Linked DNA regions of Schizosaccharomyces pombe. The gene in region 1 interacts genetically with each later gene. Each region holds a gene or a part of one and is shown on either strand. Other genes may lie near its edges. The genes, in order: pfl9, tim13 and caf16.

Evidence for each region.
Region 2: mutations in pfl9 (region 1) and tim13 together harm fitness more than expected from each alone (negative genetic interaction), as found in Schizosaccharomyces pombe (one large-scale study listed by BioGRID).
Region 3: mutations in pfl9 (region 1) and caf16 together harm fitness more than expected from each alone (negative genetic interaction), as found in Schizosaccharomyces pombe (one large-scale study listed by BioGRID).

What each region holds. Positions count from the first base shown.
Region 1 is NC_003424.3:5,525,864-5,529,561, forward strand, and holds pfl9 (DIPSY family glycoprotein), read left to right. Parts: upstream 1-1,828; coding exon 1,829-2,809; 3' UTR 2,810-3,096; downstream 3,097-3,698. UniProt on the Schizosaccharomyces pombe protein: May be involved in agglutination during conjugation or other aspects of colony formation. Induces flocculation when overexpressed.
Region 2 is NC_003424.3:4,481,985-4,485,223, forward strand, and holds tim13 (TIM22 inner membrane protein import complex subunit Tim13), read left to right. Parts: upstream 1-2,006; 5' UTR 2,007-2,093; coding exon 2,094-2,210; intron 2,211-2,268; coding exon 2,269-2,337; intron 2,338-2,380; coding exon 2,381-2,482; 3' UTR 2,483-2,673; downstream 2,674-3,239. Other genes in the region: G-protein-coupled receptor Stm1, read right to left, coding at 1-791; endodeoxyribonuclease Pnu1, read right to left, coding at 2,851-3,239. UniProt on the Schizosaccharomyces pombe protein: Mitochondrial intermembrane chaperone that participates in the import and insertion of some multi-pass transmembrane proteins into the mitochondrial inner membrane.
Region 3 is NC_003424.3:4,810,205-4,813,840, reverse strand, and holds caf16 (CCR4-Not complex subunit Caf16), read right to left. Parts: upstream 1,874-3,636; 5' UTR 1,743-1,873; coding exon 1,619-1,742; exon of another isoform or gene 1,540-1,618; coding exon 1,420-1,539; exon of another isoform or gene 1,375-1,419; coding exon 776-1,374; 3' UTR 662-775; downstream 1-661. Other genes in the region: formin Fus1, read left to right, coding at 1-616; histone H2B-K119 ubiquitin ligase complex (HULC) subunit Shf1, read left to right, coding at 2,574-3,071; phosphoinositide phospholipase C Plc1, read right to left, coding at 3,356-3,636.

The DNA.
Region 1 (3,698 bases):
ACAGAATTTATGTTTTTGGTGTTATTTGAAGACAAAACCTTAATGGATTCGTTTTATACCTGTAAATATACTATCCAATTCTATCAAACGTACTTAAAAACAAATACCGATTCATAGAATTTGTTACGATGAAATATTTCTAATAATAGTATACTAATTGCAAATAATTTACCAGGTCCAAAGTCATTGATCTGGACTATATTGACATTCCAAATATTAATAGTATGTCTTAGCGTATATAAAAATTAAGAAGACTTCAACGCTAAGTATGGATTCAGCTCTTTATTTTGTTATAAAAAAATAACTCAATGCTAAACAATAAAATAGCCGAGCAGTTTTCAATTAAGAATTGTCTAGCGAAATTTCATTAAACAACCTAAATCATATGGAGTTTTTTTCTTTTTTGATATTTGGCTCAGGCAAAGAAGAAAAGTTAAGAGTGGTATTTCTTAATAAATTAATGTCTCAAAAAAGGAATAAATTTTTTTTTTAAAATGCTAAATTTTAAACGTCCTCAGTTGCATAGATGAACTTTAAATGATAAGCGAACGAAATGCAATCGATAAATCATTGTCTCTTAGTAAAGTGTTCGGTTAAAATGACTGACATTTCGTCCGAAATAATATCAGTGTAAATATCATGGGAAAATTTCGTGTATTTCTTTATTTGGAATGCGCAGCAAAGTATCAAGAGAATAATTAGTGTTTTATATGATTTAATTTTATTGCCGGTACAATTGTATGGTTGTTCTGATAAATATACATGCTTTGTCGGTTTATCACTCTGAATAAATTTGTGATATATATTGGTTTATTTATTCAATCTATGTATCATGTAGTTGATGCTTTCATTTTTTTCATAATTTTAAAAATATCAGTTAATCATTTATTCAGCAACTGTAACGTTAAATCATTAATATATATATCTATATCGGCATGCATTAAGTTGCTACCGTTAAACATCTTAATTAAAACTAGTCTTTTATAATAACTAACTCTTTAATTTTTTGAAATTAGTTCAATTTACTGTGGAGGGCAGTCGATTGATAAAAGCTTTTCGATTCACTTGTAGCTTTAATCGGTGCTCGTTGCATCAATATTGGTTTATATAAGCCAAAGCTTTCATGGCTATTAATGAGTGATGCCGGTTTAACTACTCTAAAATGTTTTGAAAATGATAGGTATGTTTTGATTTGCTTCATCTTTTTATTTCAGTATTAACAACCTAGTAATTAAAATGTTAACAAAAAAATTTGACTACCTTTTCGAATCACATGTTTTCAGTGCTAAGTTGCCTCCAGACTGTCTGCAGTGAGTATAGGTGTTTTATAAGAAATTTGCTACATAGTATCAAATCAATAATATGAATGTAGTTTTATCAAAAAAATATTCATTAAGGCGACTGTACTGAAAGAGAAGTAGGTTAATAATAGACTCTTAAGAAAATTAACGAGAGGCGTCAATTTCTGTTGCTAGCATATATTGCGAACTCGATCGGTATGTGAATTACTACGAAAACATGCGAGCCGCGTTAACAAATGTGCATTGCCTTGTCTTAAAGTAACTAAGTTTCTCAGAAGCAGTATAAATAGTAGACTACATTAATTTCGAAGTTCCGATAATGATCTTTTTATAGAACTCAAATTTTTTAATTTGATATTGAGAATTCGAATAAAAATAACTATGGGATTAACAATAAGGGGGTTTCCGAAATTTTGGGTACTGGTTTTATATGCGCAGTTTTTGTATAAATGAACAGGCCTTCTCACACGTCTTTTCGGTTCATATTTAGCGATCAGAAGTCGTTAAAAATTTTTCTCCTATAAACAATGAATGTGGTGAAGTACATAATTTTTAGCTTTGCTCTGGCGCCTTTGTTATTAGTTAACGCGAACACATATAATTTTACACAGATACAAAAGCGAAGCGTAAACCAAGCTGTTCTTGAATCAAGTCAAGATACCAATTCAGTAGGCGGTGAAGCTTCTTCAACAGCTTGCCCTTTATTCACTACTATTTACACTAATGGTATAACACCGGGAACTACAACGATTTATCCAACATCTATCTCGACATCTGGCGTATCTAGCAACAATATCGATGAAACTTCGGTATCCTCTGAGTCTATCATCACATCCACTATTACGACTACTATAACATCTGGTTCGCAACTCTATACTACTACCATTACCGGTCAAAACACACCTGTTGATACCGTTGAAGTGGTAATCCCTACTGCTGGTACTTTCACAACTACATTGACTTCTGGATCCAGTTATCCTGTCGCAACAACTACAGTGCGAACAGCTTCTGGAACACAGTCAGGTGAAGTGGAGGTTATCACACCGTCCTGTGGATGCAGTCCTGAAAATTCATTCCATCTTAAAATAGACAATGATAAAATCAGCCCTTCCTACGTGTACATGGATCCAAACGCACCCGTGAGAACTAATGGTGCCGGTCGAGAGGGGAATATGTTTGCTTCAACTAATGGAGACAACGAGGGACTAAACCTTTTCTACTATGATTCCACTATTCAACGAGTATTAACATGTGATTGTCAAAGACCGTCTTACACTGTATACATTGAAGATCCAATTATAGGCAATGGTTTTTCAAGTGCTTGGAATCTCATTAAAAATAGCGATGGCATATTTACTCCTGTTGAATCAAGAAATAATGAGCCACTACACTTTCATGTAGATAACAATGGAAGAGTATGGATGACTTCACAAGAATATGATACAGAAGTTTCATCAACCGACGAAAGAAATTTTAGGGCCAATGATGTTACACTTCAACTGTATTAGTTGAAGCAGCAAATTTAGAATTGCACATACTCTCGTTTAATTTTTTGTATTTCAGGTCATACATATAATTTTTTTTACATTCATTTGATATAATATTTTAAAATTACAATCCATGAAATCCTTTATCAATCCCTATTGAAGATGTCAAGAAGTTGACTTCCTCGGATTTCATATTTTTCTCAAGTTCTGCTGTAAACTGAAAATAGGGATATTTAAATAGTTCTTAATTATTTTTTCCACTAGAAATTGATTGCTCTACTAATAAAATACTGTTCCAAGTTATCGGCACAATTATTACTTTCGTAAACAAAATTTGTATTTTATTTATTTTTTTTTTTTTTAAATTAATCATAACTAGTGGTATTAGGAATGCATATTTTAATCTAAGTTCAAATTAATTGCTTTCATAGTAATCATTGATATTTGTTAAATAACTAGGTTTAGGTAAACCGTACTAAAATTGAACAGGAAAGGATAAATTTTAGTAAATTTTGTAGATTATGCTTTTCGTAAAAAATAGTGGTGGCCGGTTTTAAAGATAAGTTTGGATAAACTGGTTATAATTTCCTTAAGTGAAATTTAATCACTTAAAAAAATATTAGATCTAAATAGTAACTATAGACAAGTTTTGTATAAGGAAAATGACAATTAAAGATAAGGAGCTAGACTAGTCTAGCGCTTGTTTTGAGTTTAATATTAGACCATTCAGAATTTTTTTACTCATTATTACTAAAAAAGAAAACTTAAGCAAGAATTTAAATTGTGGAAAGTCTCTTTTACTTATTAATAATTGTAAGCAATAAGGATAAGAAAATCAAAACAGTTTTTTTTAAAAATGTTTCTAAATTTAAAAAAAAATCTAAACCATATGCTGCGTTGCCTGTAAATA
Region 2 (3,239 bases), 1.0 Mb from region 1:
AACTGGTAGAAGATATATATATCAAGGAAGATGGTGCTGAACGCGCCAAGTATCCAAGGCAGGTTAGCATATGTGTAGTTTAAGTAATCGGAGGCGGGAAATACGAGAATGCTGAAAGCGTATGAAGTGTTTCCTACAGAGGCCAACACAAAAAAGATAATGGATAATCCTTCGGTAGACTTTGCTTTGTGATTCTTGATGATTTGAGGAATACGAGCACAGAAGTATAACACAGAACTGATACAACCGGCAGTAAACGGCCATGCATTCAAGTCATCATCACTCTTGTCAGAAGAGGCACTAGAAATAATTAAGTTTCCAACGATTGTCGAGACAATAACCACACATCCCATTACACCAAATTGTTGACGGGTAGAAAGGCGATCCCACCAAATTTGTTGTTTACCAATGGGTGCATGAAGACCTTCTTCTAATGAACGACTTTGGAGTAAGGGTTCGTGTTCACGACTGGCAATACGACGGGCAGCTTTCCAACGATAGTAGTAAATTTGCATAAGTAGGGTACTGTCAGAGACAATGTAATAAAATGAGAGAACCAATACAGTAGAAGAGACATTTCCGTAAATGGAACCAAGTACATTGAAGAAATCGCCAATAAGCCAGATGATTAAAAATAAATCAGAGATACTTTCACCAGACTGGTTTTTATAATTTTCAAGTAATTGAGGGATCAGTAAAACGACCCAACATCCCAGGGATAATGCTCCTAAAAATGAAGACAACTCCGTGAGTATGTTAGCCATATCAAAAGAAGGAGCTATCACAGACATGGGACAAAAATGCTTGCGAACAGATAATTTTAAAATGAATTTGAGAAGAGCTTGTCTAAGCTTTTTATGGTCAAAGTTTTTTATATGAGTGTGGAGGACAATAAATAAAAAGAACGGGAAACAAAGGGCTACAAAAGCGAAGCAACCTGAAAGGGAAATCAAACTATTAATTTAATAGGAATGATAAGCAATTATTAAAATTTGTCAACTTCCTCGAACGTGTAATGCTTCAGCACTATAATATTCGCTGATTTATTTTAGCGATCCAAGAGATGATACTTAATGAAAATTCGTTACAAGTATTTTTTTTTGTTTTAAAAAATAAACACTAAAAGGAATATCTATAATAATAATAATAACAATGGTAAACAATATTTCTCCCACTGTAAAGAAACAGAAGAGATTTGGTGGTGAGTTTGGCTCTGGATAAGATCAACCTCCCAGCCGTCCTGTTATTTATTTACCTCGGGCAAGGCTATATAGAGATTTCAAGATAAGAAAAATTTGCCGCCCATGCAGTTTCGCAGAATTAAGAAAGTGTCCGTGGATTTACAGATACAATTGATAGTCAATCCAAAGGTATCATTCTAAAGAAATATAAAGGAATAGTAAGCGAAATAGATTTTCCTTCGAATAATCCTATTTCACTTAACAATATAATTCTCAATGTAAATAACAGTCGCATTAATTTTATCAATGTCAAGCTAACTCGTTTTTGTTATAAAATTTAATACACCATAATATCGCTAGCAGTATTAAACATTGAAATGTTTACGTGACTTGTTTGATTCTCAGATTATTTGCAGTAAAAGATGTGCTAATTCCATGATTTAATTTCGAGACTATAAAACTCTATAAAAATTTCTTACAAATTGGGATTTTTATTTTTTTTTCTAAACAAGGGTAATGAAAAGTCATGAACGATTCATTTCGTATATTAAAATATTAAAAATAATAATAATAAAAAAACGCTGAAAAAACTTTTATTTCTAAACTCACCAAAAGGACCCGAATAGTATATCTATCCATTAGTTTAGAAATATTTTATTAAATCTTTTTTTTTTATACCAAGTAGAAAACAAAACAAAGATTGCTGTCTGGTTGTATCGCATATGTCAGCATATTAGAAAATCCATTTTCTATTAACGAAGTCTAATTGGTGATGATGGCCGGTTTCTGAATTAGTCTCCCTAAGTACACCGTTTGGTACTTTCCACGAACGTACCATTTCCTCATTAATTTTCCTTGTAAAGGAGTAAAAATTATCCACATTCATAAGTTTTAACGTTATACTTAAACAAAATGGGCATTTTCGGTGGAAATAGTGGAAATGCACCTTCTTCTGAAGACAAAAAATCCATTTTCATGAAACAAATTCGTCAGGAACTTGCTGTTGCTCAAGCTGGCGAATTGATAAGTGTATGCTCCATTCATTTTTTATGTTTTATTGAATGTTTTAACTAATCGGTTTATCTAGAAAATCAATGAGAACTGTTTTGATAAATGTATCCCGGAGCCTGGTTCCACATTCGATCCCAATGAAAAGGTATGAGAACTATTAAAATACTTTTATTCTAACTAGACAAAAGTCTTGCGTTTCCAAATGTATGGAACGCTATATGGATGCTTGGAACATTGTTTCTCGAACCTATATCTCTCGTATGCAACGAGAGCAGAAAAATCTCAACTGAATAATAATGATTTTTTTTTCTATCATTTTGTTTTACTCTCCTATGATATGTGTCTTGTTGTATAGTTGTGAAGTGACGGCAAAGCTTAATATGCAACGTAGAAATTTTTCTTTTCAACGTAGCTCACGCGCTTTCTCTCTAATAATTATAAACTTTCAGCAATTAAAATTCGTTTCATGTTCTTTTCCTAATCATGCTAAACACTTACAAGTGTTGTTATACTACTGGGTAAAATACTTATAATTGTTTCTTTGACATGTAGCATTTAAGTATTATTGTGTAAATAACAGTTTAAATATTTTCATAATAAAGAACGATCACCGGAAAAACTAGAAAAACTAGAGATTCATTAAATTTCCTTATTCTTATCATTTACCTTGATTCTTTTGTTTTTGTTTAACTGATTCAACAAACTCCTTAACATTTAACTGACACACCACTTCACTGCAAAGTTGTTTTCGGTTACCCTTGGGTACGTTTGATAAGATCTCTAATCCGCTTGCTCGTTCCACAACCTCAACGGGAACTGCAAAGTTCTTTAACGGAAAGTTGTCAGCAATAGGTTTGTTGGGAAGAACGAATGCAGCTACTGATGGACTTGAGGTAGGCTCTCCTGATTTTTCTGCAATGATTACTTTAAAAAAATGAGTAGGAACTGCGACGTTGGGAGGATTGCCAATTACTCGATACTGAACTTCCCATTGTCCACGTTCATTTTTTTTAGGTAAATACAGCGGTCCCGTCATTATGGTAACTG
Region 3 (3,636 bases), 720 kb from region 1:
AAATGTTGAAAAGGACTTTAGCAATGAAGGCATTTTTTCGAATCATAAAGCTCTTCATCCTGATGACCATATCTGTGAAGTCATGGTTCCATGGATTCCATCAGGAAAATCAATGGTGGATGAACTTAATTCTGATATTACTGAACTAAAAACAACCCTTAAAACAACTCTCTTAATGTATGGTGAAAATCCAGATGAACCTACATCGAGTGCTAGGTTTTTCAATAATTTAAACGAAATAATACTGGAGTACAAAAAGGCTAGCACTGTAAATCAGAAGATGGAGAAGGAAGAAGAACTTGCTTTTCTAAGACTACAAGCTTTAAAAGCATCTGTTAAAAGCAATAATGCAGAAAATAGTGGTTCTTCAAAGAATGAGGAAGTTTCAGCAACAATGGAAAATTTAATATCTCAGCTACAGAAAGGTTTGTGTGATGATTCTTTAAGCAACAAAACCGATTGCACTGAATCATCGAAACAAACAATCGAAACTCTAATGAATTATGAAAATGATAAACAAACTCTAGAAGGCTCAAATAAAAAGAGACAAACAGTCGTCCTTAAAGCTGAATGCATGCTTAAGCAGCTGGAGAATAACAATGAACTTAAGAGATAATGATGTTTGAAATGTTAATGACTTTTAATGACAATTAAATGACTTAAACAAATTATAATGAAATTATAATTAATAAAAGGTATAATTATTAATTCTAGTAAGACTGTAATGCTTGTTAAAGATAGAATTAAGCATCTAAAGGATAACTTTTCTAGTAATCTATTTTGCTCGGGAAATCTTAAAGTAATCAGTAAATACATCAGTTCCAACTTTTAATGATTCTTGAACGTCGTCCCAGGTACTACGCTTTTCCTCTTCTCGAGTTCCCCTATTTTTTTTGTCTTCTTTGAGCCATTCCAAACATGTCTCTAGAAGGGCGCTATTTCCCGTAGAGGACCTTGTCATCAGAGCACCAAACTTGGATATTGGTCCATAATCCACGATACGCCCAAGACTGAGATGGACCAAGTGAGTTGGCCACTCAGCTAAACCATCAAATATATGTGTTGCATAAACAATAGTAGCATTCCTTACTTCCGTTTCCTCTTGCAAAAAATTTAACAAATCTGCCCGGGCAAGAACATCCAAATCTACAGTTACTTCATCAAGTAAAAGTACTTCAAATGGACGCAGAAGTCCCATACATAGTTGAACACGTCGTCTTTCACCATCGGACACTGCATGCATTCGCCAACGAAGATCTATATCAAGAATTGAAATCAAGAAATCCCTACGTTCGGCAAATTTATCTCCTCCAACAGAAGCAATTAATCGTGCAACACTCATATCCCTATGTATAACAGGGTTGTTAACCCATTCTACAAACGCACACATCAGTAAAATTTGATGTTAAAAGAACTTACCAGTTCCTAAATAAACAAATGCAGAACTAGACTCACGAAAAGGATCTTTACCACCCACCGATATATGTCCTGCTTTCGCAAGCGATTTTCCAGATAAAAGTTTAAGTAAAGTTGATTTTCCTGTTTAACAAAATTCCAAGAGGACATCAGTTAGCATTTAAATATTCTTCATCAATTTCCATAACACCGCGAAACTTACCAGCTCCATTGGCTCCAACAAGTAAAGTCCTTGATCCTTTAGGAAGATCTAAAGTTACGTGATCAAGACTTAAAGGCTGCTTTGGAGAAAACGTGTAAGAGAGGTTTGAAACAGTTACTTCCATTTTGAAATAGAATGTTTTAACAGTAGTAAAATATAATTATCTAAGAACTTAGTTTTACAATATATAAAGGATCCAAAAAAAGGCGCAAATTAAATAACACTCAAACTTTGTGGGTTAGCTGGATTGTGTTTAGTACATCTGTGTATCAAGTAAAGTGTGGAGGGAATGCAGTAAAGTTGTTATAAGCAAGACCTCGTACTAATAAATTAGCTTTCCAAGTCTTTGTAAAGAACCTTTTTTAACTATTAAGTAATGCTGCCCATATTTGGAGATGCTATTAAGACCTTGAACACACATCCTGCGGAGTCTTGGAAAGAAAAATGATTAACATCGATGGAACAATTGGCAAACAATATATATAGGAGATAGAAGCAGATAACATTTGTAATCAACTACAATTTATGCTACATATTATTTGGCTTAAAACTAAGTAATAATACTTTCCTAAGGTCACCCCATTTCGTTTAAGACAACAGACAAACCTAACATTCGCATGGAATTTTTTAACAGCAGGCGGACATTTCTCAAATAAAAAAATATAAATATAATATTATTTCATTCCTGCTAAACGATTTTAGCTTTTCAACGTAGTATTGCCCATATCATTAGACTTAATATATTAAACAACAAACAAACATCGATATGGGCGAAGGGCTTTATATAACGCGGTACGTAAAATAGTCTTACCTCAAACCGTTTTCTCACACCGTGATTTTAATTGAATTAAGTATTACTATTTTTCGGTTCTTTAACCAATTGTTTTAATTAGATAGTGTACATTTTTCGTGAAAAAAAAGAACCATTAATATCAGCACTTAATTATTCACTTTAATGAGCAGCAGAAGAAATGACTACCACTATGATGGAAACGACCACCAGTATCGTAGTCCTTTGAAATCAAACGTTGATCAAAACAGTTTTTATGAATCTAGTTATAGGAGCCGACAATCCTACCATCAAAGAACAAAAACACCCAGATCTAGTTATGATTCACCCTCTTCATCTACAAATTCCAAGGAACACAATTCTCCCTATCATTATAGAGTCCCTAGCAATAATTCAACAAGAGCGTCTTTTGGGGCAGCTTCTACGGATACGAATGTAGAATTGCCGAAGATTAATCTTCCAGACTCGAGTTTGTCAAGTAAACTTCAAAGCTGCAAGTCTGCGTGCGAGAATTCATCCCAGAGTTTATTGAATGTCGAACAACAATACGCTCAACAAGTACATTTTTGGGAAAAAATTAGAACGGATATATACCGAGAAGGTCTACGTAGTGATGCAGCTGTAAAAAGCTTAAACGATTTTGTAAATAATGTCAGCTTCTAAATAAATTATTGCAATCATCGTCTGCGTACAAATCATTGAGCTTCCGCTTTGTGGATATTATTATGACTTTTTATTGAAAGTTTTATCCCAAACCCATATTTATAAACATGAATGTTTTTGTATAGCGTTTTTTTTTTTAAAAAAAAAAAATAAAAATAAAAAAACGCTTCATACACTCTAAACATTCTCAGACTACTTCGGTTCTCTCCCTTTTAACGTATAATATGCATTTTAGATTTTCTGAAGTTTCATTACGGTGAAAGTGCTGTAATGGACACAGCGTTCTAAATGTCTTCTTTTTTAATTTTCAAAAACAAACTCGAAAATAACAAATTTTCGCCTTGCATATCCAATAAACGAATATGTCTATAGCCTTGTTGCAGTCTGTCAATCGGACAAGTAAAATTAGCAAATATAGAGTCATTTCCATTACTTCCTCGATGATGGACGAGAAATCGGATCATGGAATAAAAGTCATCACTAATTATACTCTCATAAACCATGGTTTCTCCCCAAAAAGGTCGAAATCCATTTTCGTGCACAACTTTGGAACACCAACGAAAAG